Alligator mississippiensis: one gene and its partners. The protein of the gene in region 2 binds, or shares a complex with, the protein of the main gene of each other region. Links are inferred from orthologs where the notes say so. Each region holds a gene or a part of one and is shown on either strand. Other genes may lie near its edges. The genes, in order: GINS2, CDC45, GINS4 and MCM3.

What was found.
Region 1: CDC45 (region 2) and GINS2 share a complex: the UniProt entries of both Homo sapiens proteins name them as parts of the CMG helicase complex. The link is inferred for Alligator mississippiensis from reciprocal best matches to the Homo sapiens genes CDC45 and GINS2.
Region 3: CDC45 (region 2) and GINS4 share a complex: the UniProt entries of both Homo sapiens proteins name them as parts of the CMG helicase complex. The link is inferred for Alligator mississippiensis from reciprocal best matches to the Homo sapiens genes CDC45 and GINS4.
Region 4: CDC45 (region 2) and MCM3 share a complex: the UniProt entries of both Homo sapiens proteins name them as parts of the CMG helicase complex. The link is inferred for Alligator mississippiensis from reciprocal best matches to the Homo sapiens genes CDC45 and MCM3.

The regions. Positions count from the first base shown.
Region 1 is NC_081833.1:73,711,550-73,719,042, reverse strand, and holds the start of GINS2 (DNA replication complex GINS protein PSF2), read right to left. Parts: upstream 3,003-7,493; 5' UTR 2,957-3,002; coding exon 2,867-2,956; intron 2,447-2,866; coding exon 2,332-2,446; intron 1,553-2,331; coding exon 1,453-1,552; intron 416-1,452; coding exon 289-415; intron 1-288. UniProt on the Homo sapiens protein: Required for correct functioning of the GINS complex, a complex that plays an essential role in the initiation of DNA replication, and progression of DNA replication forks.
Region 2 is NC_081833.1:14,712,240-14,719,473, forward strand, and holds the start of CDC45 (cell division control protein 45 homolog), read right to left. Parts: upstream 3,002-7,234; 5' UTR 2,854-3,001; coding exon 2,803-2,853; intron 2,005-2,802; coding exon 1,945-2,004; intron 1,659-1,944; coding exon 1,566-1,658; intron 955-1,565; coding exon 817-954; intron 286-816; coding exon 142-285; intron 1-141. Other genes in the region: UFD1 (ubiquitin recognition factor in ER-associated degradation protein 1), read left to right, coding at 3,463-3,465, 5,681-5,813, 6,574-6,606. UniProt on the Homo sapiens protein: Required for initiation of chromosomal DNA replication. Core component of CDC45-MCM-GINS (CMG) helicase, the molecular machine that unwinds template DNA during replication, and around which the replisome is built.
Region 3 is NC_081830.1:17,399,133-17,406,954, forward strand, and holds GINS4 (DNA replication complex GINS protein SLD5), read right to left. Parts: upstream 2,878-7,822; 5' UTR 2,839-2,877; coding exon 2,734-2,838; intron 2,610-2,733; coding exon 2,523-2,609; intron 2,234-2,522; coding exon 2,120-2,233; intron 1,928-2,119; coding exon 1,830-1,927; intron 1,349-1,829; coding exon 1,260-1,348; intron 996-1,259; coding exon 905-995; intron 775-904; coding exon 678-774; 3' UTR 502-677; downstream 1-501. Other genes in the region: GOLGA7 (golgin subfamily A member 7), read right to left, coding at 7,446-7,493. UniProt on the Homo sapiens protein: Required for correct functioning of the GINS complex, a complex that plays an essential role in the initiation of DNA replication, and progression of DNA replication forks.
Region 4 is NC_081824.1:9,001,230-9,008,577, reverse strand, and holds the start of MCM3 (DNA replication licensing factor MCM3), read right to left. Parts: upstream 3,009-7,348; 5' UTR 2,968-3,008; coding exon 2,887-2,967; intron 834-2,886; coding exon 721-833; intron 1-720. UniProt on the Homo sapiens protein: Acts as a component of the MCM2-7 complex (MCM complex) which is the replicative helicase essential for 'once per cell cycle' DNA replication initiation and elongation in eukaryotic cells.

The DNA of each region.
Region 1 (7,493 bases), about 59 Mb from region 2:
GAAGAGGTGCATATGCCCTCTGGCTGCATCCCAAGGGGCAGGCCCAGCAGAGAGGAACGTGACAACGGTGCCGCTGTCATCATGCAAACGGAGCTGCAGCCTGGCCGTAAACGGAAGCTTAAGCATATGGCTTTAGTTCTTGACTGACAGATGCTCCTATTGCAGCGGGAGAAAGAGCCACTCCTGGCACGTCTGTCTGTGGCTCTGATCGGCCAAAGACCTGCACAATCACAGTGCACCTTGGCCACCCGTGGAAGGGACTAGCAAGCCTATCGGTCCACCCCGTACCTTGGCATGGGCTTCCTGCTGCCTGACGAAGCTGTCCGCAGACAGCCGCAGCTTTGCGATGCGCGTGTCCCAGGTATCCTTCACCAGCGTTCGGATTTCATCTGCTCTTGGGATGTTGTCTGAGGCGCTGGAGGAGGAGGAGAGCGCGGATCAGAACAGGCTGCAAGGGACTAATACATTAAGTCACTGGCATAAGTCATGTTGGCAGCTTCTCAAACCTCGGAGGCATAAGCAGAGCAGTTTGCTTTATGAAAAAAAAAAGGAACTCAGCACTAAAAGCCAAGCTGGTGCTGCTGCTGCCGGGGCTTTTTCAGGATCGTTTATTTACCCAGGAAATCTGAACTCTGCAGCAGCATCTGGTTGGCAGCATAGTCCTTCTGCTCTGTGAGAGCCCAGCTGGTCTGAGGCCAAGGAGGTACAATAACCTGGCCAAAGCCACACAGAAACAGCCAATTTAAATGGCTTGGCTGTGATGAGAGCTAGAGGTCGGCACTGTGCTCTCATTACCGACCCCACAGCTTTTGGGACCAAGTGAGCTGGACCCATTGGCACAGCCCCACAGACCTCCAGAGATCCAAGCAGCTCACACGAACACAGCCACAGGTTATTGTAATGCAATGATGGGATCTGCTGAGATCTCAGGAGGAAGCAATTAGTGCTTCAAGTGACCGTGAGCAGGGGCTTGAGGAGAGAAGAGTCTGTGCTCAGTAAATTACTGGCCAGCAGACTGTGTGCAATGGAAATGTTTCAGGGGACGCGAGTCCTGCATGGGATATCCCTGACCTGCGTGTACCGGGCTAGGAAAGGACAGCACGAAGGCAGCAGACTGGGAAGGATTAGGCTGCTGGGCCTCCGGCAGCAATCGAGGGTCTGCACAAAGCCAGAGCGTGTGGCCTCTCCGCCCAAGGTCAGTACACTCAGCCGCCCCTCGACAGAGCACGGGAGCCCTGATCAGACTTCGTAACCAGTGACACCGGGTGAACAGATCCAACGGCTGCGATAAACCGAGTGCTCTAGCAAAACCCTGACGTGCTCTGCGTAGGACGCTTCCCTGTGGGTCTGCAACTCCATCCCCTATAACCTCACTAGTTTTTCAGCATCATATTCCTGGGTATTTCCCCAGGGAAGAAAGTACTTCCACCTGGCCACAAGGAAGCGACTTACTGGTTTAAGAGCAGCTTGGTGAGCTCCATGTAGTAGGGACTGGGCATCGGGGTAAAGGTGTCCTCCTTGCGCTCCTGATCCCGGATGGCCTCCAGCTTTTCTGAAACACATTTGGGGACAGTCAGGCTTTTGCCAGATGCTCCACAGCTCTGGATTTATCTCCTCCCAGCAGAAGCAGCCCCCTTGGACCAGGTGGAGACGGCTCCTGCAAGAGGGGAGACTGTCCTGGTACCCTTGGCAGCTTTACCATGGGAGCCCTAGCTCATCAGGCAGAAAGTAACTCCCTTCAACCCAAAACGAGGGCAAGAGGCACTGGCAGTCAGCTCCGCATGCTGGGAGAAGGCCTCAAGGGGACCTTTCTGCCAAGTTGATCTTGGCTCATCAATTCTGTGCCCTCGGGAGCGCAGAGGGAGGTCGGACAGCGAGAGGAGCAGCACCGAGGCACCGTCCCTGTCCCTGCTCTCAGCCGCACGCTGGCTGAACCGGAGGGAGCTCAGGCCCTTATTCCACCCAGCAACATTGCTGCGTGGTGTCAGGGCTGCTTCTATTCCCGATGCCCCGCGGGATCGCACGATCCCGAGTAAATGAGAGCGCCTCCGCGCTCCACAGGCACCCTTCCCTCGGGACGCAGCCCGCGGGGAAGGTGCTACAGGGAGGTGACGGAGCAATTAACGCCCGAGCCCGCGACACGCCAGCGATGGTGCTCAGGAAAGCAGGTGGCATCCCCATCTTCCCAAAGCAAGGCACAGGGAGCGAGGATGGGGCTGGCCCTGCGCCCCCTTCACTCGCTCCAGGGATTTCCCCATTAAAGGAGGGGAAGGAGCGTTGCAGGACGTCCCCACGGACCAGCTCCCAGCTCGGAGCGGGCGGTCTCCTTACCCACGTCCATCCATGCGGGAGGGATCAGGCGACACTTCTGCCTCTGCTTCAGGTTAATGGCCAGCCAGAGCGGCACCTCCACGGGCAGCCCTGGGTTAAAGGGACCCAGATCTCCCTGCAAGAGCCACAGGGTCAGGGGCTGCTTGGGGCCAGGCCCTGCTAGGGCACCCCTGGGAGGGGGGGGACCCCTCAATATCCCTGCTGGCCACGCCCACCCCTCTGGCCACGCCCTCCCAGCTGACCTCTCCCACCTCCTCTGTCCCTCATTGTCTCAACCCCTCCCCTCTGGCCCCTCTCACAAGGCCCGCCCCCAAAATGCCTCCCTCTGGCCCCGCCCCTAATCCACCCCGCCCTCTGACTCCGCCCCTTTTCCTCCCCCAAGACTGGCCCCGCCCCCTCTCTTCTGGTCCCTCCCGCGAGTTTGGCCCCGCCCCCATAATCTGCCCTGTCCCTCCCCTGGCCCCGCCCACACTTCCCCGCCCCCTCTCTTCTGGCGCCCCGTCTGGCCCCTCCCACAAGCCCGGGCCCGGCGCACCCCGATGAGGTAGATGCGGTCCAGGCTGAAGTTGGGCACGACGGTGACCAGCTCCTTCTCGGCCAGGAACTCGGCCTCGGCCGGGTCCATTCCCGGCGCCGGGCGGGCGGAACCGGTACCGGAACCGGAACCGCCCGGGGAGCCCCTCCTATTGGCTGGCCGCGCGGGAAGCCCCGCCCCCTCCCTTGGACTCCAACCCCAAAGCGCCCCCGATTGGCTGCTTGTCTCGCGCGGTGCCCGCGGGTTGGCTCCCTCCTGCGCTCGAGGATTGGCTGAGGCGCGGCTTCTGAGGGCGGGGCCGGGGAGCCTTCCAGCTAATCGCGGCTCTCCCTGAGGAGGCATCGACCAATCAGCGCTCTCCCTGGGCGCGCGGGCGGGGCGAAGTGTGGAGAAGGCGCGGGAGTTGCCATGGTGCTTCCCTCCTCTCCACCCGCCATGTGTCATAGACCTTGTACTTCAGGGGAGAGTCCTCCGGGGGGGGAAGCACCCCCACATCTCCTCAGCCTGAGGAGTGGTGGGGGGCTTGAGTCCCCCTCCATGCCAGCAATTAACCCAATTAATTAGGTTAGCCCAATTCATTATGGGGGGGGGGTCTGTCACGCCTCCGCCCTCACGGCCATATCACACCAATCCTGTCTGGAGGGTGTCCCCAAATGTGGCTAAAAGGTGCCCCCCCCCCCCCCCCCCCCCCGGCTGGCGGGAGGTTGTGGGGGGGGACTCTCCAAATTTTTTTTAACCATCCGACACGGCGACCGCGAGAGTTTTTAACGACCTGAGCATTATAACGAGACTCGCCGAGTGCTAATTGTATCCGTTTAAAACGAGCGCTGTAGCGGATGAGCACCAAGGGGGGGGGGGGGGGGGGTTGCCTGTCCTCCATGAAGCGAGGACTAAACTACTGCGCATTAGTGAACGTGTAGACGCGCCTTGTGTTTGTTTAACCGCAGCTTTGCAACGTTGTTCCCTGGTTTTTCCCACAGCGGCCTGGCCTAGGGTCAGAGAGGGTGGACTTTAATTCATGAATGTATTCGTAGTATTTATTACGAGCGGTCAAGGCACCGTACCGAGACTCCTGGCGGCCCTGGGGCGAACTTTTAGTATCAAACCCCGCTTCGCCAGAGGTAACGCTAATAACGATAATTAAAATGACCGTTTTCAGGCCCCCTTTCTGTCCGCCCGTGCCCGTGTGCGGCCCTGGTAGAGGCCAAGGCCCTGCCGCCTGTGCCTCTTCCAAATACGTGGCACGAAGCTGATCATCCAAGTGCAAGCCCATAGGCAACAGGTGGGCACAACAGCCAGGTGTGTGGAGTAAATGGGGACACAAGGCGTTGACACGGATCAGCTTGACAAACAGCAACCCATCTGCCGAACCACTGTTGAGCATTGTGCAGGCATTACAGCCCAGAAGTGTTCGCAAGAGGTATTTTTCTACCTCTGACCCAGACGTTGCTTGTTAATTAAAAAGACAAGCCACCCCCAAACACTCAGCTACCGGGACGGATTTAAGATGAAGCATAACAACAGCAACAAAAACCCGTCAAGACACATCGAAGATGTTAATGTCCAAAGTTATGCACGGGGGGGGGGGGAATAAAATAAAAGCTTTTATCCAGGAGTGATTTAGAGTGCCGTCAGCCAGGCTGTTAGGATGTCAGGTCGTCATGGAAACAGAAAGCCTTCAAACAATATTAGCAGTGACAGGTCTATTTAATGGTGTGTTTTTGTGATCCTGTTCAAAACACCATCTATTTCTTTGCCTTGCCTCCAGCTTGTCCCAGCACGGGCAGCAACCCCGATGCAACAGGATAAATAAAAAGGCTCCGAATGCGGCGTATAGTCCCCGTCACCCCTCCACCCCCCAAAAAAGTCTTTCCCAGGGAGCCCTTTTCTTTCCTCTTGCCATCTCATCCCTGCCCCAAACCACTCTCTTGCTCAGATCGGGGCCTCTAGAATTGAGACTCAAACCACTCTGCATTGCATGAATAAAAAAGGAAAATGATAGTACCCAAGTTGCGGTGATGATAATAATCCTATTTTCCGGCTGTCATTCAAAGGCCTTGTTATGTCTGGATCTGATTTCCTCTCTCTCCACTTTACCCGTCCATAAAAAAAAAACAACCCTCAAATCTAAGTGCTGTCTTCCCAGCGGCAGCTGCCAATAGTTCCTATTGATTGATTTGTATTGATTAATCTGTTATGGCTCCCAAATGGCTTCCCTATCCCACACCCTTTCTTTTTTTAATTAAGTGAGTTTTGTGTTTGTGAGAAGTGCCAGACGGGTGACTCTGGGGGGCAACTCTGCATATTGGCAGAACAGCAATAACATGAGGAGTAGAAGGGCTGGTAGCTACCTCTGGAGGGGTGAAGGCAATTTAGATTTCCACCCCTATTCACCTCTTTGCATCCCTGGTGAACATCAAAGGCACCAATTATTGCCTAGCTTGGAGTCAGTGGGATCACCCACTTGGAAAACATCCTTACCTGGTCCCCTTTAAATCTTGAGCATCAATTGAAAATGAAAAGGTTTTTCACAAATATCTTATTGCAGTCCTTGTTATTCCCCCTCTAGCTTTTGAGACTTCAGACCTCACATTTGTCCAGATTTTATCCACTACTAGGAGGGTTAAAAACATCCCATGGGTTTCAAAGGGAAACTGAGCAGTCTCATGACTCCAGGAGCTCAGTTTTAGGAGAGACACTGACCACTGTGAGTGTTTACATTTGGGGAAGCTGGCAGCACAAATTCGGGACATGAATGTGGTTTTGGAAACCTTTGCTAGCTGTTTTTCTACCACCTCGCCACCATTTCTAGTGCAAGAGTCCTGCTTTCAGCGCCAGAACTGCCTCATGTCACCTGAGCTGGGTTTTTGACATTTCTCAGTCTGAAGCCCAAAATCTGGAACATAACTCGGGAGGTGCAAATTCCCCTGTTATATTCCAGATCTTGGGCTTCAAATTCCCCCGGAAGCAAAAAGCAGCCGCGTCAGGCAAACCATCAGTGTCTGTGATCCGCAGGTTTTGAGCAGCTCTGATCTTGACAGCTTAAAAAAAAAAACAACAGCTGTCTTACAGGAGCAAATCTTGTCATCTCCGTGACACGAGAAATCTGCTGGGTAAGCATTGCCCTGGGTTCTGCTAGCTCTAAATACACTCTGCTGAAGAGGGCTATTAAAACCAGGTTTTAGTGGGACTTAAGGCATTCCCAGCTCCCTTGCTATATACCAGTGCAGTAGATTTGTGCCAGCAGGTCGAGCTCGCTCCACGGCAGCAACCAAGATTGGAATTCATAGCAGCCCCTGCCCTTCATTAGACCCCATAATGAAAGCACTGAACTGCTCTGCTCCTCCAGAAATAGACCAAGAGAGATGTCTGCAGTTGGAAATGCTCATCAAAGTGGCTGCTCCTGGGAAAATAATAGACTGATCGAATTGAATAGGACCTCCGGGGTCATCCAGTCCAGCCCCCAGCACAGAGGCACAATGCGCTCTTCCTAAACCATCCGTATTAAATGCTTATCCATCCCCTTCCTGAAAATTTCCAAGGATGGAGATGCTACAGCCTCCCCCAGCAGTTTGCACCGCTGTCCTGATGTTCCGACAGTAATGACACTTTTCTCTGAAATTTCGTCTCAACCTGCTTTGCTACAGTTTAAACCCATTGCATCCTGGCCGACCCTCTGCAGGGAGAGAAAAAGACAGCACAAAAACCCCTAATGCAGACAAGTCTCTGAAGGGCTCCTCTCTCAGGCCCAGCAGCTTCATCACGTAGAAAAGCCAGACAGGCTGGTTGAAACAGCTGGAAGAGCAAGCAGCCTGTCTCTACCTTTGAAATGCTCCATCGTTCACTGGTGAAGTTCAGTTTCGGGTCCATTTCCAGCCTCAAATGCCACAACAGCTTGATTTGCACTTCCCTTCCACACCCCTGAAGCCGGCTTTCACATGCCTCCTGTGCAAATAGCCTTCTGTGTGTAAAGGGAGAAAGGGAGGCTGTTCAGGTCTTCATATCCACCTGGGTCTCCATGAACCTGTTTAAACCTGCCATTGCAGCCTGAACCTGGTTCCTGCTGGTTAACTGGTGGTAGGCAGGGGCAGCCCTGCAAAGGCTGGTAGGCCTGGAGATGTCTGTGCCTGATAAGCACCTTCTGTCACACATTCATCCTGACCTTTAATTCAGGAGCCAGCTTGGCTGCTGATAATGCTGCTTCCTCAGCCTGCAGGCTTTCCCCAGCTCAAAGGCACACTGCTGCTGTTCTACATCCCCTGCCTTGGGGTACCCGTGATGCCTTTTTGCTCCAAAGAGTTACGCAGTGGGCTGCCATCTATCCAGGGCTCCTTTAGGGGTTGTCACAGGGGTTAGGACAAGAAATTGTCTAAAACTACACCGAGGAAGATTTAGGTTAGATATTGGGAAGGGCTTTCTAATGTAGAGGGTTGTTAAGCACTGGAGCAGCCTGCCCCGGGACATCTCCTCCACCCTAGGGCTCTGAGAATTGTTTGGACAAGCATATCAGGATCCTTGATCCCGCCTCAGAGCAGGGGTGGACTAGATGCAAGTTTCTCCATTTCTGTGATCAGGGGAGGGCAAACCGGGTGACTGCCCAGGGCCCCACACTTTAGGGGGGCCCAAA
Region 2 (7,234 bases):
TTTACCTTCTGTAACAATCCACTTTGTTTGGGTTTCAAAGGCAAACGACACCAAAGCAATAGTATCAAACTTTCTGTAGAACAGGGTATACATATAAATTTCCACCCTCCCCTGCACAGAACAATGCTGTAAGAAATATACCTCTTCAAATCGTTTGCGCTTCCCCGAAGGTTCTGATCCATCGCTTTCATTCCCAGAATCCTCCTCTTCCTCCTCCTCATCTCTGAAGATGTCATCGTAGGCAGGAATGTTAAGATCATCATCTGGTTTAACCAACAGCTTAATCTAAGAAGAAAAGAAGCATTTTAAAAAAATCAAACCTAAAAACCCCTTTATATTCGACCAACCTAGCAATTTCTATTAGTTGTTCCTCTTAGTACAGAAGACTAATTTACTCACTCTGGAGTTGATCTGTTCCTACTAGGACACCAAGATTTTGCTTTATATGAATTAGGTGATCAACCCAAGTGACAAGCTAGAAGATCTACCTTCTGCCCTTATGAATTAATAAAAATTGAAATGTTTATTCTCCTTTATCAACAAGGTTATATTTATAGCACCAATAACATTGAAGAATGTAGACTTTCAGTGAAAAATATATTTGTTAAAGGGAAGCTGTCTAGCACTGTAGTATAAATCTCTCAGCATTCATAATTTAAAGTTATATTATTTAGTCTCCAACCAATACAATCTAGAAGTAAACTTACTGTGCTGTGGTAAATCACCTTTGTTGCAAGGGATAGAAAAATGATAGCTCACTTACTGGATATTGTGAGCCAATTTAAACTGCATATCATCTTAGACAATTGGATTTACCTGCATATCATTGTAAACATTCACTACATTGATAGGCCTGCGGGAGTCACAAACAAAGAAAAAGGTGTCCTCCTCAGGCTGCAGAACCTCCAGTAGGTCAATGTTGGCACCACAGTTTATAAGAACAAAATACTTGAACTGCAAAAGAAAACAAGGCATCTCCAATTTAATAGGTTACATGGGAGAATAAAACCAAGAAATTATCAGAACTATTCTACCTCCAAAGTATTTAACTTTGTACACAGTTATGTTTCAGGCAGCTTGGTTAAGGAAACTGAGGGGAAAAAAATAAAGGCCGTTTTTATAGAAGGATAATGTACTTTTAGTTTTCATTGTACAGACAACGAATGCTCACAACTTTCTCAGTTGAAGATGGATACAAATTCAGTTTATAAAAATCAAAACTTGATCTAAACCACACACAGACTGGGGCAACTGCAAGTTTTACTTCAAAAGAAATTCTGTAACTGAAACAGCAGAAGCATTTGCTGAATTTTTGCTAAAGTTTGCTAAATTAGGTGAGACTGTGGCACATGACAAGAACAGGATATGGGAAATATGCCAAGCATTTGTCCATCATCCACCTAACTTTATTCAGTATTATTTTAGCTAACCACAAAAATATCAACCTAAGAACCTAGAAGTGAACTGGGGGTGAAAAAAAGGACACTTCAAATTACAGATAAGTAGGAGGCAATGTTACATACACACATCTCTCATTAGGTGAGGTTTTTTGTTGTTTTTTTTACCTGATCTTTATGTTCAAGAAATGCAGTTTCAAGTTCCTGCCACCCAGACACTGGAACTAATGTGTACTGTACATGGTCACATTGAAACAATGCCTAAAAAGAAGCAAACAAGAAATGTTTTGCTAATGAAGAAAATTAGTAACAATTACTATATTTCTGAAAAATACTCCCATGCAAGACTTTGAATAGGAATTATCATGAAATCCCAGCATCATAACTGGTAGGACGAAAAAGGGTTAAGCATAAATAAAACACTGAATGTTTAAAACTAAAGTTAACACTTCCCTCTCACGTTCCTTTCCACACTTCTTTATTAAACTCTTTCCCATACATTTTCTTCTGTTAGCAGTATATAAAATAAGGACAAACATTCACTTACTTGGAGTATTTTACACGCACATAATGCATCTACATCTGAAGCAACGAGAAGAAGAACACGCTGCAAAACATTAGAAAACAGCATTAATACGTGATACTCGATGCGTGCCCCACAGTCATTTCCAACAACTTCAGTGTCTACGCCTAAGACTGAAAATCTTTCAAGTCAAATCAGGACTGGCGGTAGAGGTGATATCAAACAAGCGCATGAATGCAAACAGTGGGAATGAGAGCATGAGCCCGTCTAAGGGCTGTAAAAAATAAGGACAGGGGACAAGTCATTATGAAAGAGGGACTGGCCAAAGATCACATGGTACGTTGCACGTTACTGGCTCTTGCTGTTTAATTCAGCCTCTTGGCACAGGCCAGGGGAAACGCACACCGCACCACAGGACACAAACAACCCGCATTTTACACGAGGGTAAAATAATACATTTGCATTGACTTGATAACATGATGCTGGAAAAAAAAAAAAAAAGATCTGGCTTGCAATAACCTGCAAACAGGCAACCCCGCCGCTTTTACAGATCAGCAGGGGCCTAACTAGAAAACCCTGATGCTGAATAACACAAAACGACCGAGAACAGCTGCCGCGGACGGTACCACGTCCAAGCGCGCCGCCGCGAACCCGGCCGCGGACACAGACCGGCATTTCTGGCGTGGGAGAAGGACCCCGCGTGTGCGGCGGGGATCGCGCCACGGAGCAGTAATGGCGTGACACGGACTTCGCGCGTGGGGCCGGTTTTCATCCATCGCGCCATAAACGTAACGTGCCCGAAGGAGCCGCCGGGAGCGCGCCGCGCCGCGCCGCCCGCTCAGGGAATCAGAGACCCCGGGGCGGCCCCGCAGCGGATCCCACCTGGGTGGTGATGACCTCATAGAACTCCCTGCGCACGTCGGACAGGAACATGGTCCCGGTGTCCGTGTCCGTGTCCGTCTCGCTGCCGGCGCCTGCCCGCTGCACTCAAACCAGGCGCCAAATCACGTCTGTCCCTATTGGCCTCGGCTCCCGCCCCGCAAGCCCGCCCTCCGCAGTGCTGATTGGCTCGGGCAGCCGATTCCTTAGTGCCTCTGCCAATCGCCGTGGGCGAAGCTGATCACGTGACCAAAACAACCCGGGGGACTGGAAGAGCGGCCATTTTATTTATCCGTGCCTTGCCCCTTCCGCCATCTTTAGTGTGGGCAGGGCACTGTTCCCGCCTCTTAGAACCCCCCCGAGAAAAGCCCGGGGCATTACAAAAAATATGCAGTCAAGTAAGAGCAGAAATGGGAAAAACAAAATCGGCGAAACGTTGTTGAGGTCGAGTCGGGCGCGGTTCTTCCTTCCGCCCTCACTCAAAATGGCGGACATGAAGGCTTTTTGTGCCTTTCCAGCCGCGCGGCATTGTGGGAAGTGTAGTGCGGACGGGCAGGGGCTCGAGCGTCTAAGGAGTTCCGCGGGTGACGTTTCGGCGTAGCCTGACTTGCCCGGGCACTCGCGGACACCTCAGCCGCAGGAGCCGGAGCCGCGGTCGCCACGATGGTGAGCGCGGGGCCGGGCCGGGCCGGGCCGGGGCGGCGCTGCCGAGTCATCCTGGGCGGGAGGCGCCGCCGCCCCTCGGCCCGGCCGCAGCCTTTCTCGCTCGGGGGCAGCCGAGGCTCGGCGGAGCCTCCCCCCCCGGCTCGGCGGGGAAAGGGGTGAAGGGGAAAAGGCTCCAAAAAGAGCCCCTTCCCCTCCCGGAGCGCGCGCCCGCGGCCCTACTCAGGCTCCTCGCTCGCGGCCTTGCCTCCTTCCCGGCCTCCCCTGGGAGGGGCCGGGCCGGGCCGGGGGAGACCACCCTGCCTACAGTGGGGGACAGTGCCTGGCAGGGTAGATTTGCACCTTAGAGACTAACTCATAGATCTAGATCTATAGATAAATAGGTAGCTGTAGCTCTCTCAATACATAAAGCATACAGACATCTAGAGAGTGAGAGATTTCCAGATATACACACACACACACACACACACACACACACACTGTTTATATATATTATATTATAATCAATATAGATAGATATATAGAGAGATTGATATGTGTGTATATAAATATAGATATGTATAAATATAGATATACATATATAAATATAGATATATGTATGTGTGTGCATGTATGTGTGTGTGTATATATATATATTCACACACACAGAAACATATATCTATGTGTATAAAGATATATAGATATCTATCTGTCTAGCTATAGATCTTGGGGGGGGGGGGCACAAAGAGTTACTTCACAAGCTTTGGTGAGTTTCAGCTCATCATCATTATCAGATGATGATGTGATGAAACCTCTGATGAAGTGAGCTCCGGCTCCCAAAGGCTTGTGCCTCTCAACAGTAATTTAGTTTATAAGGTGCCAGATCTGCTCTGCCTTCTGCTTGACTTCAGTCTAATGTGGCTTAACCACATCTCTGCTAAAGGAGGGCAGTGCCCGGGGTTGGGTCTGAACGAGTGAAATTCTTTCACCAACATTTAAGGCTTATGTCTGCGTGTTTTCCCATAGAGAGATGACGATGCATAAACTGAGCCTGAAGGCTATGGGCCTAGCAGTGTTAGTGTGGAGCACTTACAATGGTTATTTCTAATTTCTTCAGTTTAGAAGTGTGGCTGAGAACTTGATATTAAATCCAGAAAGAGGTAAAAGTTGTTCAGCTTTTTCACTGAGTATCCAGTTAGTATTTTGATTTGTAAAAGAAACAAAGAGAAGAATTTTTCAGGATATGGGAAGCTGTTAAACCTGGTACCCCACATTGTCTGAGCTTGAAGAATGGGGAAAAATGGTTAAAATGGCTAGTCTTTCCTAACAGCGCCCTACACTTCATTTTCTAAGTATTATTTGAACTGTCCCAGAAAATGAGCCTTTTGCTACTTGCTTAACTTTATTAATTACTCTTCATATAATTATTATTGTAATTATCCTGTATTATTGCTAGTGTCTTTAGGAAGCAATCATTAAAACTACAGTCTTGGAAATGTTTAAGTACATGCTTAACTTTATGCAGCTGAGTAGCTACACTGAATTTAATAGAATAATGTGTGTATGGAAACTGAAGCATGTGCATAACTCGCTCGTTTGAGGTCTGAAGTTTTACCATCTGCATTATTTTTTCCAAGTTGTTCATATTTTATTTTTGTTGATCCATCTTTTAATCTGTTTTCTAATACCTTTTTAAGTTGTGTGTGGCACTCTGGAAACGTAATGCAGTGTTCATCATTTTATCAGATGTTCAATTTCTTAATGTAGCTGGTCAGGATTAGTGTTCTTTTCATGAACTTGATGTACATTTGCAAAGCTGCTGGTCCTGTGATGAATAATGTAGAAGAAATTGTAGCCACTTTATTCCTTGTTGATTGTACACTGATAGATCTGTACAGCATACTGCTACAGCACTGTACAAATCAATGATCTCTAGCATGTATATTTTTAACTTGGAACTGAAGTCTGTTCTGCTTTAGTTTGTAAAAACAGTCAAATTGCAATTGTGGAAATAATTCATAGCTGAATTTCCACTATCCTATTTCATAAGTTCATTGGTACATGCATGTAACTAATCTTTGTGTTGTATTTTTATGTGTACCTTTCTTGAACATATTAGGTCTCAGGAAAAATAAGTACACATTATTTATCACAATGGCTTTGGCTTGATGAACAACTGGCTGGAAATCTTAGTATGATGGTGGCTGCTAATATTCGTCATTTTTTTTTCTTCCTCTAGTTTTCTTTTAACATGTTTGATCATCCAATACCCCGAGTTTTCCAGAACCGTTTCTCAACTCAATATCGTTGCTTCTCAGTGTCCATGCTTGCAGGACCTAATGACAGGTCAGATGTGGAGAAAGGCGGGAAGAGTATGTGCATGTTTTATTTTGAATACTACATTGTTGAAGGTTACATGTGAATGATAATGTTCATTAGTATTGTTTATAGAAAGTGGTTGGAGAAACAGTGTTAGGCCCCGAGCATAAAAGCACATGTGTATGTGTTGGTTTTGTGGCTTGAGTAACAAGGGCACTGTATAACTCAAAATCATGTTTTCCAACACTAGTATAAGTTAACTGATGCTGGGGTTGTTACTAATTTACGTAGAGATAAATTGGGAAAGATCTACTATTTATTTTTTTCACAAAAGTTTTTCCTTATCCCTAATAATGTGTCATGTAAACTTCATAAGCTTTAAAAATCTTTTCCTCTATTACTTTCTTGATAGCTCACTCAGTTTGATCAAAGAAAATAGATATACCCGCTTTACTTTCAGGCTGTCATGTCAGTCCTGTCTCATGATGTTTGAGTTGTCCCCATTTCAGAAGAATGAATGAATCCAACCAAAAAAAAATTACTTGTGGAAAGCATATTTATTAATATTAAGTCCCATAAAACTTTTATATTCTCCTTTCACCTGTGTCTCCAAAATAAAATATACATTTTGGGCTAGTGAATATTGTTTGTCTAGATTAACTTCTTTTGTAATTTGAAAAATTACTTTTCTGAAGTCAGTACCACTGTGATGTGCTGCCTGACAAAAAGGAAAGATAAGGCTGTATACTATATTGTCTTCCATAGCTGTGCTGTTCCTAATCTTACTTTACCTTTTTTGTTTAATTTCTGCAGTAATTATGCCACCGTCTGCTTTGGATCAATTGAGTAAGTAATTTTTATTCTGCAGTTAAAAACATCAGACAATAAGGCTGTGATAAATGCTTAGTCAAGTAACAGACTTGCATATTCTTTAAGGTCTGGTTTAAATCAAGACATGCCGGGCGATCCCATATTGAAACAAAACATTTTAGACAATACATCCAGCAAAAGATAATAAATACGAAGTCATTTGTTTTTGTCTACATGTTGCTCAAATGATAGGCAGACTGTAAAATTTCCAACAGCTGCTTGACCATAATGTGAATGTTTATATTTATGAAGTAATTTATCCTCCTTTACATTTATGCTTACAAATAACTCCATTTATTTGCTGGCTCGGTTTTACTGGGCAATGAGAATTCACAAAGTTAATTTGAAAGGCAGAAAAAGGATGGTCATTCAACAAAATGAGGCGTTTGTTCCCTTTATTTAGTTCTCCCAGAAGACAGGTGTTTTGACCATTTTTGTTCTTTTTTCTAGCTAAGGGCTCTTATCTTTTCCTTAGTACAGTACACCACTTGTCTAGAGAAACTCTAATGCACTATCCAACTGAAGATTATAAGTCATATTCTGTAGCTGATTGAAGCTAGAACAGAACAATGTTTCAGTGCTAGTACAGTAGTACTCTTTTACC
Region 3 (7,822 bases), on a different chromosome or scaffold from region 2:
CCCAGGTGCTGCGAGGGAGGCGGCCGTGCACGTGCGCGTGCCCCGGGAGGGGGGGGCGGTGCATGCCCGTGCGTACACACGTGCGGGCCCCAGCGGGACGCACCACCCGCGCGCCCGGGGGGGGGAGGGGGGGGAGTCGGGCTGTGCCACGTCTCGGGGCGGGGGTGCGCGGCAGGGCCGGGCCATCGCCTCTGAGCGGGGGGGGCGCAACCATAGCCGGGGTGCTGGGGGGGGGGGAAGCAGCCAGGCGCTACCACTGCGCGGGCAACGGCCCCGTGCGGGGGGAGGGGAGCGGCCCGGGGTCACTCACCTGCCGCCGCCGCCGGGCCCGGCCCCGCCCCCGCCACGTGCTGCGTCAGCGCGCCGGGCGAGGCCGCCAGCCAATGGGCAGCGCGGGCGGCGCCCCGCCCCCGGGCCGTGGCGCGCGGCGCCCAGTGTGTGCGTGTGTGCGGGCGCCGCGCGCGGGGCTGGCGGGAAAACGAAGCGGAGCTCGGCCAGCGCTGAGGTGACGTTTTTTATTAAACTAACTTGGTGTTTGCAAAACAAAACAAAATAATAACAATAATAATGATAATAATAGTAATGATGATGTGCAGGCGAGGGCATGGTGCCCAGAGGTCCCTCGGCCCCCTGCAGGGCCCCTGGGTGGCCCCCCAGCGCTGGGGCTTGCTGCTGCCCTAGATGAGCTGCACGGCACCTGAGGCCACGAGGGGCGCGATGGTCTTGTAGCGGATCAAGTGCTGGGAGCCCTCCTCCAGGTCGATGGTGTACTCTCTGCAGGGCGGACACCTGGTCAGAGGCCCGCAGCCACGGAGCATGCAGCAGGCGGTGGCGCCCGCTGGGGTGGCAGGGGTCTGGCCTGGCTGTGCCTACTGGGATGCCCCGAGCCCCTGACCCGCCCCACCTCGGCTCGTCGGTCTCAGGCTCCACCAAGATGTTCTCCTGCCGCTCCAGGACGCGCAGGAACACGAAGGAGTCCAGGTTAGGCTTGGGAACTGCGTGGGAAGCAGGGCGCTGAGGGGCCAGCCCGCCCCTATTGGCCCCTCCGAGCAGTGCTTTCCCCCCACAAGATGCCAGGCAGGCCGGCGGGGGGTTTAGCAGTGTTCCCTTCGTGCACGTCCGTGGCACAGGAGACATGCCGGGGTGGCAGCCCCGTGCCAAGTGCGCACCAGCAGGGCGGTGCTCGGACACGAGCATCTCCCCGGAGCCCCGGCCCCTGGGTGTTGGCAAACTCTGAGGTCACCAACACGCGCCCGTACCAGCCTGGAGGAGATCCACCTTCTGCAGGTTGGGCGGCATGTGCTTCAGTGCCACGCTCTTCAGGTAGCTCTCCGTGTTTGCCATGTACCTGCAACGAGTGGCTCATGGGCACCTCCACCCCTGGCACAACCGGCCCAAGGTGCCAGCAGCCAGCACCACGTATCCCTGGGCCCAGCCGTGCCCACGGGGTCAGGAGCAGCAGCAGCCTGGCTGCCCCAACCGGGCAGTGCCCCATGATGCAGTCCCCCTCGGTGTACCCGCTGCAGTGGGCACAGCCTCCTCCCTTCCCACTGCCAGGGGCTCTGCCCTGGCACAGGGCACTGAGCAGCAGAAGTGATACTGCCTCCCCAACCCCTCTGGGTCACTGGCTTTGCTCAAAGCCCTGGGCCTAGGCAAGGCTCCCGCTGCCTCACGCCAGAGGGAAGTGGCAAGCTGTCCAGGCTGCGGCCTCTCTGCAGTTCGGTGGGCCCCAGGGGACTCGTGGGTGCCAAGGCTGCTCTAGGAAGAGGTATGGTGCATGCCATGAGGAGGAGGTGTGTGCCGGGCTTGCCTGCCCTTGCCCAACTCACTCCTTGGCAAAGGCAAACTCCTCCGGGGACAGGATGGAAGGATCCCCGTCCGCGCGGGACTTCTCCTTCTCCAGGACATGGGGGAAGAACTTCTCGATCTGCCAGGGGAGGAAGACCGTCAGCTGCCACCATCAAAGCTCCCCCAGCCCAGAGTCTGGAGCCCGCTGACAGGACCCATTGCTGCCCAGGCCCGCTCGCAGCAGCACTGAGCCCCCAGCCTCGGGGTGCCTCTCCCCAGCACAGAGCACCGGGAAGGCGGGAGCCCCTGCTCCCTGCCCTCCTGGTGTTACCTTCCCCAGGCGGCAGCGCAGGTAGCTGCTGAGCACATAGCGGATGCGCTCTATCTCCATGCGGTGGATGCCAACCTTCAGGTCCACGCCCTTGACTCGCTTCAGGTTGGACTCCTGCGGGCACAGCACAAGGCGTAACCGCGGGAAAGGGCAGGTCACATGGCTCCGTGGTACGAGGCACCATGTCCCTCCCTGCGTAGGGACCCGGCAGAGGAATCCGAGCGCAGGCCCCAAGTCCAGTGGCACAGGCAGCAGCCAGGAGCGCGGGTGGGCCATTCTCCCTGCCCGCGGGACACTTGCACCTGCTCTGCACGAAGGAACCGGGGCCAGCAGTGGTGCGGACCCTGCAAGGCAGTGCCCACAACAGCGGAGCACTGGGCGACTTCTGCAGGCTGCCACCTACCATGTGCTCCAGCTGCTCCATCACGCACTCCACCACCTCCGCTTTGCTCTCCAGCAGCTCCGGGGCAAACTTCTCGTTCAGCCAGGCCTGGCGGGGGGCAGGGGTGAGCATGGGGCCGGCTCCCGGGTTGGCACCGCTCCCGTCCGGCCCGGAGGTAACCTCGGCGTCCGTCCGCCCCCCGCCCCGCCCCGCCCCGCCCCGCCCCGCCGACCTGCTCCAGGCTGCGGATGAGCTGGGCCGGGGTGAGCACCAGCTCCTCGCTGCCGCCGTCCGAGTCGTGCCCGGCGGGATCGGGGGAGTCCGGGCTCTCCGCCATCCCGGCGACCGAACTCCCGCCAACTGCTGCTGACGTCTAGCGTGACGTGAAGGGGGCGGGGCTTGCATTGTGCATATGCATGAGCCCCGCCCCCGGGCCCGTGCGCGGCTTCCTCCAGCGCTTAAAAGGGCATCGCCTCCCGCTGCCGCTCAACTACCGGGGCCGGGTGGGGGAGAGCGGCTATGTGCACATGCACATGCACATGCACGCAGCTGCACAGGGGCAGAGGCACGGGGCAGGGGCACGGACAGACCGCGATCGGCTGCCCGGGTCCGTGGCTCGCTTTAAGGGGCTGCCCTGTGCGCATCGTTGGGTGTGGGGCGGGCCGAGACACCCTCGGCATGGGCCCCGCCGTCCTCTCCAGCATTTCCCAAGGGAGCAAGGGCCGGGGGCCGCAGCAGGGCCCTTTCCTTTGGGGTGCCCAGTGGAAGGGAAACGTGGAGGAGGGGGTAGTTTTTTGGGGGTAGATATAATCTCTTGTATTACACCTACTGACGAGCAGGAGAGTTTTTTGCAAGCTCTGGGGCACAAACACCCTCCTGGCGGGGCGCTCCACCTCTCCCAGCAGTGCTGCGCGCGGCCCAGGCCAGCTCTGCCCTGCTGTCAGTGTTTGCACCTTGCTTGGGTCACTTAAAATCTCTAGCCTCTGAACAGGCTTCCAGCAGGGGTGGTGCAGTCAGTCGCCGGCTCTGCTGGTCTTTAAGAGGAGGCTGGACAAATACCTTGTGTTGGTTCGAGCCCAATTACGTCCTGCCCATGGCAGGGGACTGGACTTGATGGTCTTATCGGTCCCTTCCAGTCCTTTCTAGGATCCAAAAAAAAAAAAAAAGAGCAATTGGATGGGAGATTTTGTTAGCTCCCAGCCCACTCAGGGAGTTGACTGCTATTGCTGCCAGTCTTGTTTCCTCCTCTGCGTTCCCCTTGCTGGGGAGGGACTGCGCACTAGGATGTGTGTAGGGGAGGAACCTCCCCTTTTCATGAATGGCTCCTTTCCAAACTGAAATATTAGCTCTTATGGAGAGCCCCAGCCTGTAAATACTCTGGCTCAGATTTAGGACCCCTTCAGTGCGAGGGCTTCCCCTGTCTTTCATCAGGGTTGTTGCTGATGCACACAAGCACACCCCTCCGTCCCCAGCTCCAACAAAGAGCATAAAACCCAACCCTACTGCATCAGTCATTGTAGCAGAAACAGAGCAAGGTGTGCACTTTCACATGGCTTAAAGTTGGTTACCAGCCATCACTTTTGTTTAGAGGAAATCAGTACTTTTATTCAGGCCAGTGCTACCAAACAGGACACAGACACAGTATAAGAAAATTTTACTAATCCATTAATAATTCTGCAAAATTATTGCAACAGGTGCAAAAGGCAAATGCACTTTTACATTTTAAGAGAGACAAAGAAAAAGTCTTCTGTACAATTAAAACAGGAAACAGATCTCAAAGAGGAGGGGGAAAAAAAAGAAAGAAGTGGTTGAACAGGAAGCCTGGAATCTCCACTCCAGGATTAGCACCTACAGTATCACTGAAAACTCGACACTCCACCTAGTTGCAGCAGTTGTCTTGTTCTACAAGTCCCACAATGGACAGTGGCTCTCCAACCAGGGGGGCCATGCTAGTTTAACCCAGCCTAAGTAAAGATCTCATGTTATACAGGAGAGGGAGACAACAGAAAATATTAGGCCAATTTTGTTTGGTGGAAGTTTTACTCAGAAGATGCCCAAGGTAGCGTAGCAGGTATTGCTGAGGAATGTTAATTCATGGGAAATACGGCATACTGCACAGCTCTGCTCTTCAGCAGTTTGCCAGCAGCACGAATTAAGAAACCAACTTACACACTATTGAGTAATCCATCAAATCAACATTTTGCTATAAATTATACATAATAAATCCATAGAAACAAAACAGTTCATTACATTTTACATATTAACTTTCAGGGGAGGAGTAGGGATGGCTACATGTATTGGTTCAGCATCCATTTTATTGTACTGACACAGTTGAAGGGAACGAGCAAGACTGTCTCTTCCCGCGAGTGTGGAGAACTCCAGTGACAGCAGTAGATTCCCAGGGCACCAGCAAAGCACCCAGTAACAATACTAGCTATCGGGGGTTAGGAAAAACAACTAAATCATTAGAAAAACCTTTCTGCATTAAATTCCCGGTGAGCGTCAGCTCAGGAACCTGAGACTGCTCTGTGCCTCGAGTCACTTCCTGCTAGGCAGAGGCACTGTGTGCAGTGAGTGTATTGCAGGCTGCTCTGCCCTGCACTGGAGTGTGGGCCTTGTTTCTGGCACAGACTCCCTGACGTCAGACTTGCAGCCTGACGTGTCGGAAGATTTAACTGGTGGGGAGGGAAACAGCTGCTTCCCACTGGGCTGAACTGCCCAGTTCACTTGCTGAAGAGCAACAGCTTTACTTTGCCCATTCCTTGTCCATGGAAACGAACAAGATGATCCCATTGCTTAAAGCTTGCCACAGGCCACAAAATGGATGCTGACCAGCCAGAAGTTTAGAAAGTTAGTCTTGGTAAGTAGATGGCACCACAGGTCTGGCAGCAGAGAGGAATGATGCTCTAGAGAGGAGGTAGGGGAACGCTCTGATGCGGCAAGTCCACTGCTGAGCCGGGGGCTGGAAAACAAAGAGAATTGGAGCAGGTTAGGAGCCAGCACTGCAGAGAACCACACAAGACGCCTTTGCACAGGCCTAGCATGTAGCCTAGAGATGCACCCTCTTCCTAGCAGAGCTCTAGTCTCCCACGGTTATGGATTCTCTCTCTAAACTGTGTATGTAACCCGGACCAGCTTCCCGGCCAGCGTAAACAGGCTGTCTGCGACAGTCTGCAGGCTTCAGGTGCAGGGCTTGCACTTGGGAAGGCAGACCCCTGCTTAGGCCCCACTCTGTGTGGAGCTTGCTCCTGGTCTGCCTACAGCTTTGAAAACAAAGTGGTGCTGAACCAAAATATTTGCAATTCATGAAACTATCCAGAAGTTCCTAATGTAAATCTTTTCCAGTATGAGAAGGTTCACAGTTGTTTGAACACGGATAGAGCAGGCTCATGTGTGAGTGTCCTCAAAACCCGCATCATCTCGGAAAAACATTCCAGTTTGCAGTAATCGCCATTAAATGAGTCGTGACAAAAGGGTTGTGCCAAATAGATGCAGCTGCAACTGATAAAACATAACCTTGTTCCAATGGCAGCAAGCATAAGCCACGAACTTGATCGAGTTCCTGACTGCTAACAGCCAGAGAAGTCAGATAGGACGTTCTAATCAGAAGTGGAATCAACTGTTACAGTATTTTGATAGTGCAGAACTTGTCAGCAATACATGTTCAGCAGCAAGAGTCTCAGGCCTTTCTGTCCAGAAAACTCTTGTCCTGGCTGAGTCAGAGAGACGGTACATCTGGATTAGTCATGACCAAGTAATTACCAAGAGGCAGTTCTATAGGCACCTAGCAAAGCCCAGAGGAGGTCTGTGGCATTTCTCCCCTTCATTGATATGCCAGGCTGCGTACAACCTGATTTTTTTGTTTTTGTTTGCAGTGTTCCTACTAAGGCACAAAGCAGCTTATTTGCTGGCACATTGTGTGCCCTGCGCCCAAGAGATTTACAAATATGAGGTGCCACGACTTCATTTTAGATGCAAGAGGGAAATGGCAGGTGAATTCAGCCACCTCTAGAGTGGAAGGCAGCTGTAGCCGAGCAGTGGAAGTGAATACTTCATCAGGCTGAAAGCAAAATGGAAACAAAGGGAAGGGAGAACAGAATGACTCAGTCTGGGGTTCTGCCAGAAGCGTAATCCCAGTACCCCGACTCCTATGGAAAGCATTAGAGGATCCTTAATGCACCCCAAGTCTTTAGGCTTCAATTTTAGAAACTGCTTTAAAGATGGAAGCTTCAGCGGAGAAGACCTAAGCTCCGGGCTGCAGCACTGGCTCAGCACTGATTCAGAAGGAAAAGCAGCAGTGACTAAGCTACCCATGCCACACCTAACAGCAAAGGGATTTTTCTTGAATGTCTTCCACCCATGTACTGACCTAGCTTGACTCTCTTAGCTTGCGAGACCTGCTGGGGATCTCGCACGCTGTGGACTGCATGGGCTCCCCTGTCATCGCATGCCATTAGCACAAGAGTCATTCCAGGGCCCAAGACAGCTGATGAACCAGTAAGTGACTGAGTTCAAACTTAAGCCTAAAGTCCTGAGCTGCTTCACTTACAGGAGGGAAACCTGAGCAGAATCAGAATTCGTGGGTCTATCCAACCTGTGAGATAATGATTTCTGACACAGTACAGCAGAAATCAGATTTAAGATTATACATGTTTACATAATTAAAATCTGGATTTCATCAATGTGAAATCTGGCATCATCTGAAGTGCATTACCATTCAGGAGCACGCTGCCAAGTATTGATATTTTTACATCTTCCGCTGGGATTTAAAGATTTCATCCACACAGAAGATTTATTTAAAGAGCCTTATGATTACATGCAGCGGTTGGATAAACATTCTGTCTCGGCAGGGGAGGGGAAAGTTTATGTCTTCTGAATGCACAGAAGCCGGTTATAGATTTGACATGTAATGCAAAGTTAATATTTACCTTGGGGTCCGTGGTTTTATCTTCCACTGCTCATACCTCTGTCTTCATAAATGGTGATTTCAATCTGCACAGCACGGCTGTTAAGAAAACGTGCTACAGGAAAAGGAAGACAACTGACAAATGACAAAAACCTAGCTAGCAGAGCCTTTGATCACATCAGCTGTTAGATGAGAAGTGTTGCTAAATTTCTAAACATCCCACACAATTTCTGGTTTTGCATCCTGACTTGCCTTTTAATGAGCATTCACTTAGCCTCAGTGTATGATATTGCTCTGAGGCTGCCAACATTCACACGGGTTGTTTGTACATTAAGCCAAATTTTACTGTAGCCTTTTCCCCTGCTCAGTTACCTTTTACATTTCTATTCACCAAAGTCTAGTCACTTCTTTCTAG
Region 4 (7,348 bases), on a different chromosome or scaffold from region 2:
TGAGAAGATGGCCCCACAGCCATGCGAGTTCAACCTGGCTAAAGCCTCCTTCCTTGTCTGAGAGATGCAAGTACATAAGAAAGGCATACCTGATGTGCCAAGGAGATCTTGGGTCTAAGTTAACCAAGGAAAAGTATAAGCTCCCCTTAAAAAGGGAGGTCATTATGGGCACATCAGCTGATTTCTTGGGACAAATAAAGAAAACAGGGAGGGAAGTGAGGTCAGGGGTTAACAAGGGAGCTGGACGGAGCTACCCAGGAAAGTTCACCGACCATGGCCCGCTGCTTCCTGAAATGAGTTGAGTGCAAGTGCAGAAAACAAGAAGCACACGTGTTGCACCTCACCTTCAAAGACAACCCTTTTTTGCCACTGAAAAGACAGCCTTGGACAGAGGGAGGGAGAACAGCTTAACCCTTTGGCCTGTCTGCAAAGTTTTCTACCAGGAGAGCCAACAGATTTCCCAGCTTCCTCTCTGCATATCTCCAGTTGTTGGGATGCTGGAGAGGTTCGACAAACACTTGACTGGGTCAGATAGGGATGATCCTACCTCGAGCAGGAAGTTGGACACAATGACCTCCTGAGGTCCCTCCCAGCCCTCCTTTTCTATGATCCTATAGCACTTGGGATGCCTTTCCCCATGTCACTTCTAAACCCAACATGCAGAGGACAGCACTGTGCAGTTGGAGGGATGCTCCGATCCTTTTTGCAGGCCACACGTACCGGCTGGCCCGCTTCTCATTCTTCCTCCGCAGGTCGTTGACACTGACGATCAGCCGATACTGGTTGTCGCTGATCATGTCCCGGACTTTGCCTTGATAAACACCCTGATCCTCCTGCAAAAGACACAAGGCGAGAGCGTGGTCCAGCTTAAACGGCAATGTGCTTGATTCCAGAAACCTGCAGTGGTTTTGCCAGCCCCAAACTGCCACCAATCCCCAAATGCCCTGGTGGTTAGGAAGGGCCAGGATTATGAACACGCGCTCAACTCCCTCCCCTATACTCTATATGCACCCCCCAAAATCCTTAGTTGATTAACTATATGCAACTGTGCTGGTGTCATTCCTCCCTTAAAGCAGTGCAATGTTGTGTTCAGCTTAGATCAATGATTCTCAACCACGGTGCTGCAGCGCCATGGGGTGCGCCTTGTGCTTTTTTTAAGGGTGCCACACAAGCTTAGCACTGTTCAGAGGCACATCCAGGGGGGGTGCAGTGTCCTCCACTTTTTCTTCTTGCTCCAGCCAAGGTTTAAAACAAGCTGCCTGGTAGTGACAGCAGCATTTCTAGTCAAGCAGCGCTGAGGGACCCAATTGATTTCATGGCTCATTATATTCTACCTGATTTCTTCTAAACTCTTCTTCCACAGGTGTTAACGACCCTCTTTTTTAATGGTCTTGATAGTCCACCAACCAAGCTACCCTTTGCTCTGCAATTGTGGAGCTGCTCCTGCTAACAGAGCCCTTCTTTCACAGCCCTGCAGGCTGTTTTTAACTCCTTCCAATGCAGTTACATTTGTTCTTGCTAAACTGAATAATACAGCCTTGGGCCCTGAGCATATTCATAAAGTTTCTTTTTCCCTGGAGAAAATTGTGTGCGATGTTATACAGGATGACACCACCACCTGCACCCCCTTTTCAAAATCCTAGATCCACCCTTGACATTATCTGCCAACATGATTCATGACATACAAAACTTAAGAGATCTCAAAGAGGAATACAGAACATTGAAAGCACTCTGCCTTGTTGTAGGCTGAGGTCTTTGCAACAGAAAAATGTTTAGTGCAGATCTATGACTATCTGCAGGCAAAAAAAAAAGGTTACAAGAGACAGCCAACTGAGGAGGTGCCTGGAAGGAAATTGCGAACAAACTGCAAACAAAATAAAAAGTGTTATTATACCCCTTTACAAACCCATGCTGTGTCCACACCTTGAATACCGTGCCCAGTTCTGGGACCCTCACCATAAAAAGGTGATAGAAGAGCTAGAGACAGCCCAGAAACGGGCAACAAGGATGACTGATGAGTGGCATGGAGGGGCTTTCATATGAGGAGAGACTAAAGAAGCCAGGCTCAGTTTAGAAAGGAGATGCTTGGGGGGGGAGGGGGGGGATTTACAAAATACTAAATGGTGAAGAGAAAGTCAATAGGGATTTGCTATCTCACCATACAAGAGCTGGGGGGGGGGGGGGGGGGGGTCACAAAATGAAAGTAGCAAGTTTGCAGCCACAAAAAGGAAGTTACTTTTCACCCCGTATGTAACTCAAGCGTGGACTTGTTGCCCCCAGATGTAGGAGATGAGTTTTACCAGATTCAAAAAGGGACCGGACCCCCGTTTGGAGCAAAGGGACCTGGGCAGGGGGGTTAGTGGGGTGGGGGGGCTCAGACTCAGGCCTTCCTGGACCGGAAATGCTGGAGGCTGCAAGTGAGGAAGGAAGAGTGTGGGGGGGGGGGACAAAAACCCCGGTCAGACCCAGTTCACTCTCCCGTCCAGCATCCAGTGCGATACAGGCCTACGTCATGCAAACAGTTAACATGAATTTGACTCCCCCAGAGCAGTGGCTAGCCCCCACATTATTAGGGGGGATACTGGGTGCCCACCAATTAATTTGGGGGGGTCAACTACAGAGAAAACAGGGATGGGAGTAAGGTCATGAGTCCAAGGAGCCTGTGGACACTGCCCAGTGCAACTCTGCTCTGAGAGGAGGGACAGGAAAGGGGCCCCGCAGACTCCAGGGTCCTCCCGACAGGAGCCTCCTTCCTGGGCAGAGATCACAAATGTCGCCAGGGCCAAGAGGGGGGTGATCAGGAGGGCCCAGGTCTTGCTGGGGGCTGGAAGAATTAATTTAGAGGTGGTAATTAACGAAGCGGACCCCTGCAAAGACGCTCCCCACCTCATCATCCAGGAAATCCAGGTAGTCCCGCTGCGCCTCCCGCAGCTCCGCATCCTCCAGCCCGGCCGCGGGGAGCGCCATGCTGCCGTTTCCCGCGCGCTGCGACCGGCTCCGCCCCCTGGCGCCAAAACTCGATACATTTTCCCGCCAGACGCCAAAGTTCCGCCTGCTCCCATTGGCCAGCCCGGGAGCCACCGGCCAATGGGAGAGAAAGCCGGCCGGGCAGCCAACATTCCAGCGCTGCAGCCAATCAGCGCGCGCGGAACGTTAAGTCGCTGGGGCAGGGTTCGGCCACACGATGGAGCGAGGGGCATTGTGGGATGTGTAGTCTTCGCCCTATCCTCCATTAAGCTCAATGGACGCTGCGCAGAGACGGGGTGTTGCATGCTGGGAGTTGTGGTCCTGGCAAGGTGCATGCTGGGAGAAGCAGGCCCTGGATGGGTCGTCCTGGGGCAGGGATTCATGGAGGCATAGCATCTGGCTTGTGGGGCTCCGCATGGAGCAGCAAATTTGGCAGCGGGGGAGTGGTGGTCATCTATACCACTTCCTCCTGCCAAATTCCCAAACCCCAAGCCCTGCACACCTTGCCTGCCGGCTTGAAACCAGTCCACACCCCCTGCTTCCAAAAAGCTGGGCCATGCAACCTCCTCCCTGGGCCAGATTGGGGCTGGGTCACATCCCTGCCCCATCATGTGAAGCCCCCTTCGCACCCCTGAAGGGCTGGGCTCAGGCCCCCCTCTGCGTGGTCAAGTAGTGGCTGCCATGCTGGACCCGGGCACTGGATTGGAACCAGTATCCCCCCAGTTCATACCAATCTGACCAGGGGGTAAAGTTCCTGCCTGACCCCAAATCCATCTGACCCTGAGCGGAGGGGCCAGACCCTCCGTCCAGGAACCTCTGGCTTGATGTCCCACCAGGAGCACTGGCACAACCCAGTCAACCTCCCCAGCACTGGCTGCAGTCAACACCGATGCCTCTGAATGATGGCTTAAAAACACCCGGATGCATTTGTTGCATTTTGTTTTATTTATTGTAATTGCCCTTAGGAAGGAAGGAAGGATTGTTTTCAGTGGACGTGCATCTCTCCTAGCACAACAGATCTCTGGTGCTGGACTGGGAAGTCTAGGCTTTTATAAAAGGAAGCAGCGGTGATGAGGATGGCATGAATAAACATCCATGCAGGATATTATCGGCTGTGTAACACAGTCCGTCAGAGGTCTCGTTCACATTTCATCCCGCTAGAGGGAGCAGATCCCCTTCAAAGCAGTGAGCACGTGGGTTGCCTGCCTGAACAAATGAGTGGGCACCACAAAGGTATCTGGTTTCTTTGCCAGGTTACATATCAGCATCAGGTCTGCCTGGAGACTGCTGAGATCTGCTTCACAGCCGGTGTCACCCTGAATCCTGGAGGGTATTCATGCCACTCCTTTGTTCCTCTAACCGCTGCTGCCTTTCGTTCCACATTGGATTGAATGTCCTGCTTTTCGTTTTCCAAGGTTTCCATGCTCCTGCCCCTCCTTCCCCTCCTCTTTATCTCAGCTTCTCTTCTCTTCCCTTGGTTTAAACGAAGTAGTGGAGCTTGACCAGTGTAAAACTGGAGTAAATGGAGAACTTCTTGCCAAGTACCTATATTCAGATGCTGAGTTACATCAATTCTGCAGCCTGCGCTTCATGTCCATCTTGCTTCCTCTCTTGCTGCTCTGTATAGCTGGAAACTTTCTGCCCTACACAAGGAGGGTTACAAAGAGGATGGAGCTGGACTGTCCTCAGTGGTAGCAGATGGCAGAACAAATGCAATGGGCTCAAGTTGCAGCAAGAGAGGTTTAGGTCAGATATTAGGAAAAACTCTCTCACTAGGAACAAGTTACCCAGAGAGACTGTGGATTCTCCATTCTTGGAGGTGTTTAAGACCTGGATAGACAAAGCCTTGGCTGGGATGATCTACTTGGGGCTGGTCCTGCTTGGAGCAGGGAGTTGGACGATGTGACATCCTGAGGTCCCTTCAACCCTCATTTTCTCTGAGTCTATGCTCTGAAGCCTCCTTCACCCTCTTTCCCCTTTCATCCCTCCTCAACCCCGTCCCTTTCCCTGATCTCTCTTAGGACGGGATTCATTCTCCTCTTCCTAGCAGTAACTTCAATGGGGCTGCACTCATGTTACTGGAAGGAGAAGCAGGCCTGGGGTCTTAGACTCCCAAGCTGATCTTTGCAATTCGAGACTAATGGGCTGTAAAAGTAACATGTAACACAAGTGAATTCACGATGTCAGTGCATCTTCCCTCCTTGATCCTCTATGGTGCCTCCAGCCTAGGGCCGGAGCTGACCCAGGGTGGAAGATGACTGGGACAGTGCATCTGAACCTGGTTCTCCATATGTTGCATGCTGCAGTATTGTAAATGTGTGCACAGGCTTGGTCAAAAGAAAATGTCCCTGAATCAGAATAGAAACAGTGCAAGTATTCCTACCAACCGTCTGATGGCGGAGAACCAGTACCATCAAAATATACTGAATCAGGACCATTGAGTAGATTCTGGTCTCTGCCTCTGGCACTTCTGTTGATGCAGCAGACAGAAAGCTGCTGTAATGAGCTTGCTGCAGATTTCTTTATATAAGGAAATCTCCCAGGTGACATGATCCCAGCACCGGTGACTATACACTTGCTCCTGGTCCTGATCGCGGAGAGGACATATTTAAAGTGTGTAGGCATAACGCGTTGACCAGGCTGAGTGGAAAGCCACAGAAGGCTATTCCAGCCAATTCAAGTAAGAGCATCTATATGAGGCTACCTTGCCTTGGGTGGACACCTCATCTTGCTCTGAGCAGCCTGCAGGATCAGAGGGGATAGAAAGCTCTGGTTCCCCTAAGGAGCTGACCCCAAGTCCTTATCTCTGGCAAGTCCCATGCACACCTAGGGTCCTGGATACCCACACGGTAGAACAGTAGCAGCAACAATAGAAAGACTAATGCTTCCACAGATGCTCCTATGAGTTTACCACTGATAGCAATAACAGCAGACCGAGCCATACAATTTTATAGCTGAGAAACCAAGAAGTGCCAAATGGGGTCTGTGCAGGAGACCAAACACACAGGAATAAGTTGAAGTGTGTGTGTGTGTGTGTGTGTGTGTGTGTGTGTGTGTGTGTGTGTGTGTGTGTGTGTGTGTGTGTGTGTGTGTGTACAGAAAAATCGCAAAACCTGGAACGAATTGATGGGTGCTGTAAAAGCAAAGGACAGGCATTTGTTAGGACGACACATGAGCAGACAAGACAATGAGATGCTTGTTATTTGGCTGGAGGATTTAGTTGCAAGAGGACATTTGGGACAGTTTAGAAACATTATCTGACCCTGACATTAACTGCCAGTGCTGTTCCTCTCTTTGCAACAGATAATACATTGTGGCCTGATACACGTGAGAATGAATGGATCGAGCCTTCATTATCAGCCAAAAAACATAGGAGCGTCCGATGAAGCAGGGAGTCAGCAGGCAGTCCACTGTATTAGAAGCCACTTCACGGTGCATCTGTGGGGTTACAGTATGGCCCCTAAACCCACACATGCAGTACACAAGCCATGGCTTGACCTGGGCTTTGCCATATAGGCTTGGTACTGTAGCAATAGTTGCTGTGCTAGATGTAGGCTTGTGTAGGCTTGACCTGGGCTTTGCTATATACTGCTTTTCCCCTTGTGTGCAGTTTTTATTATTGTCTGTGCAAAGAGAGCATGAGAGAAGGGAAGGCTGTGCATCCTGATTTAGTACAACTGTCCTCTGCTGGTTGGCACTGAAATGGCTCTATTATGTACCCTAAGTCCTGTATTGCTAACAGCGGGCGCATCTACATGTGGCAATTTAAGGCACGTTAGAAATTTTTAGGGTTCATTAAGGGCATGGGTCTACACGTGTGTGCCCTTAATCCACCTTAAAAATGGCAATTTTAAGCTATTCACGCCTACATTTGATACCTGCAAAAGTGAAAGCAGATTCATGCACGTGTAGACAGAGCATTGACACACGCGTGTGACATACACAGCAATGTGCACATGGCATATACAGCATTAAGGTGCATTAACACTGTGTATGTCGACTGATTCTGGACTAAATTTAATCTCAAATTGGTCCACACACTGCATTAATGCACATTAGTGTGTGTGCATGTGTAGACGCACACCTAAATCACCTTAATGCACATTAAGCAAATGTGCATTAAGTTTAGGTGCACGTAAAAGCATGCCCAGCGAGTCTCATTTACCTCTAGTGGCTGGTGGCTTCTGCTTTGAGCTTGCAGCCTGGCTATCCCCAGCACAGCGGTGTGGAACTGTAAATCCCTCGTGCTTGCATTTTTGTTAGGATAGGAAGAGCAAACCCTTCCCCACCCCAGTGGGCATACACGTGGGCAGGGTGGCGGAGATCCTGAGAAGTCAAAAGAAACTATGGCTCCAGGCCTCCAGGTAACAAGAGGTAGGGT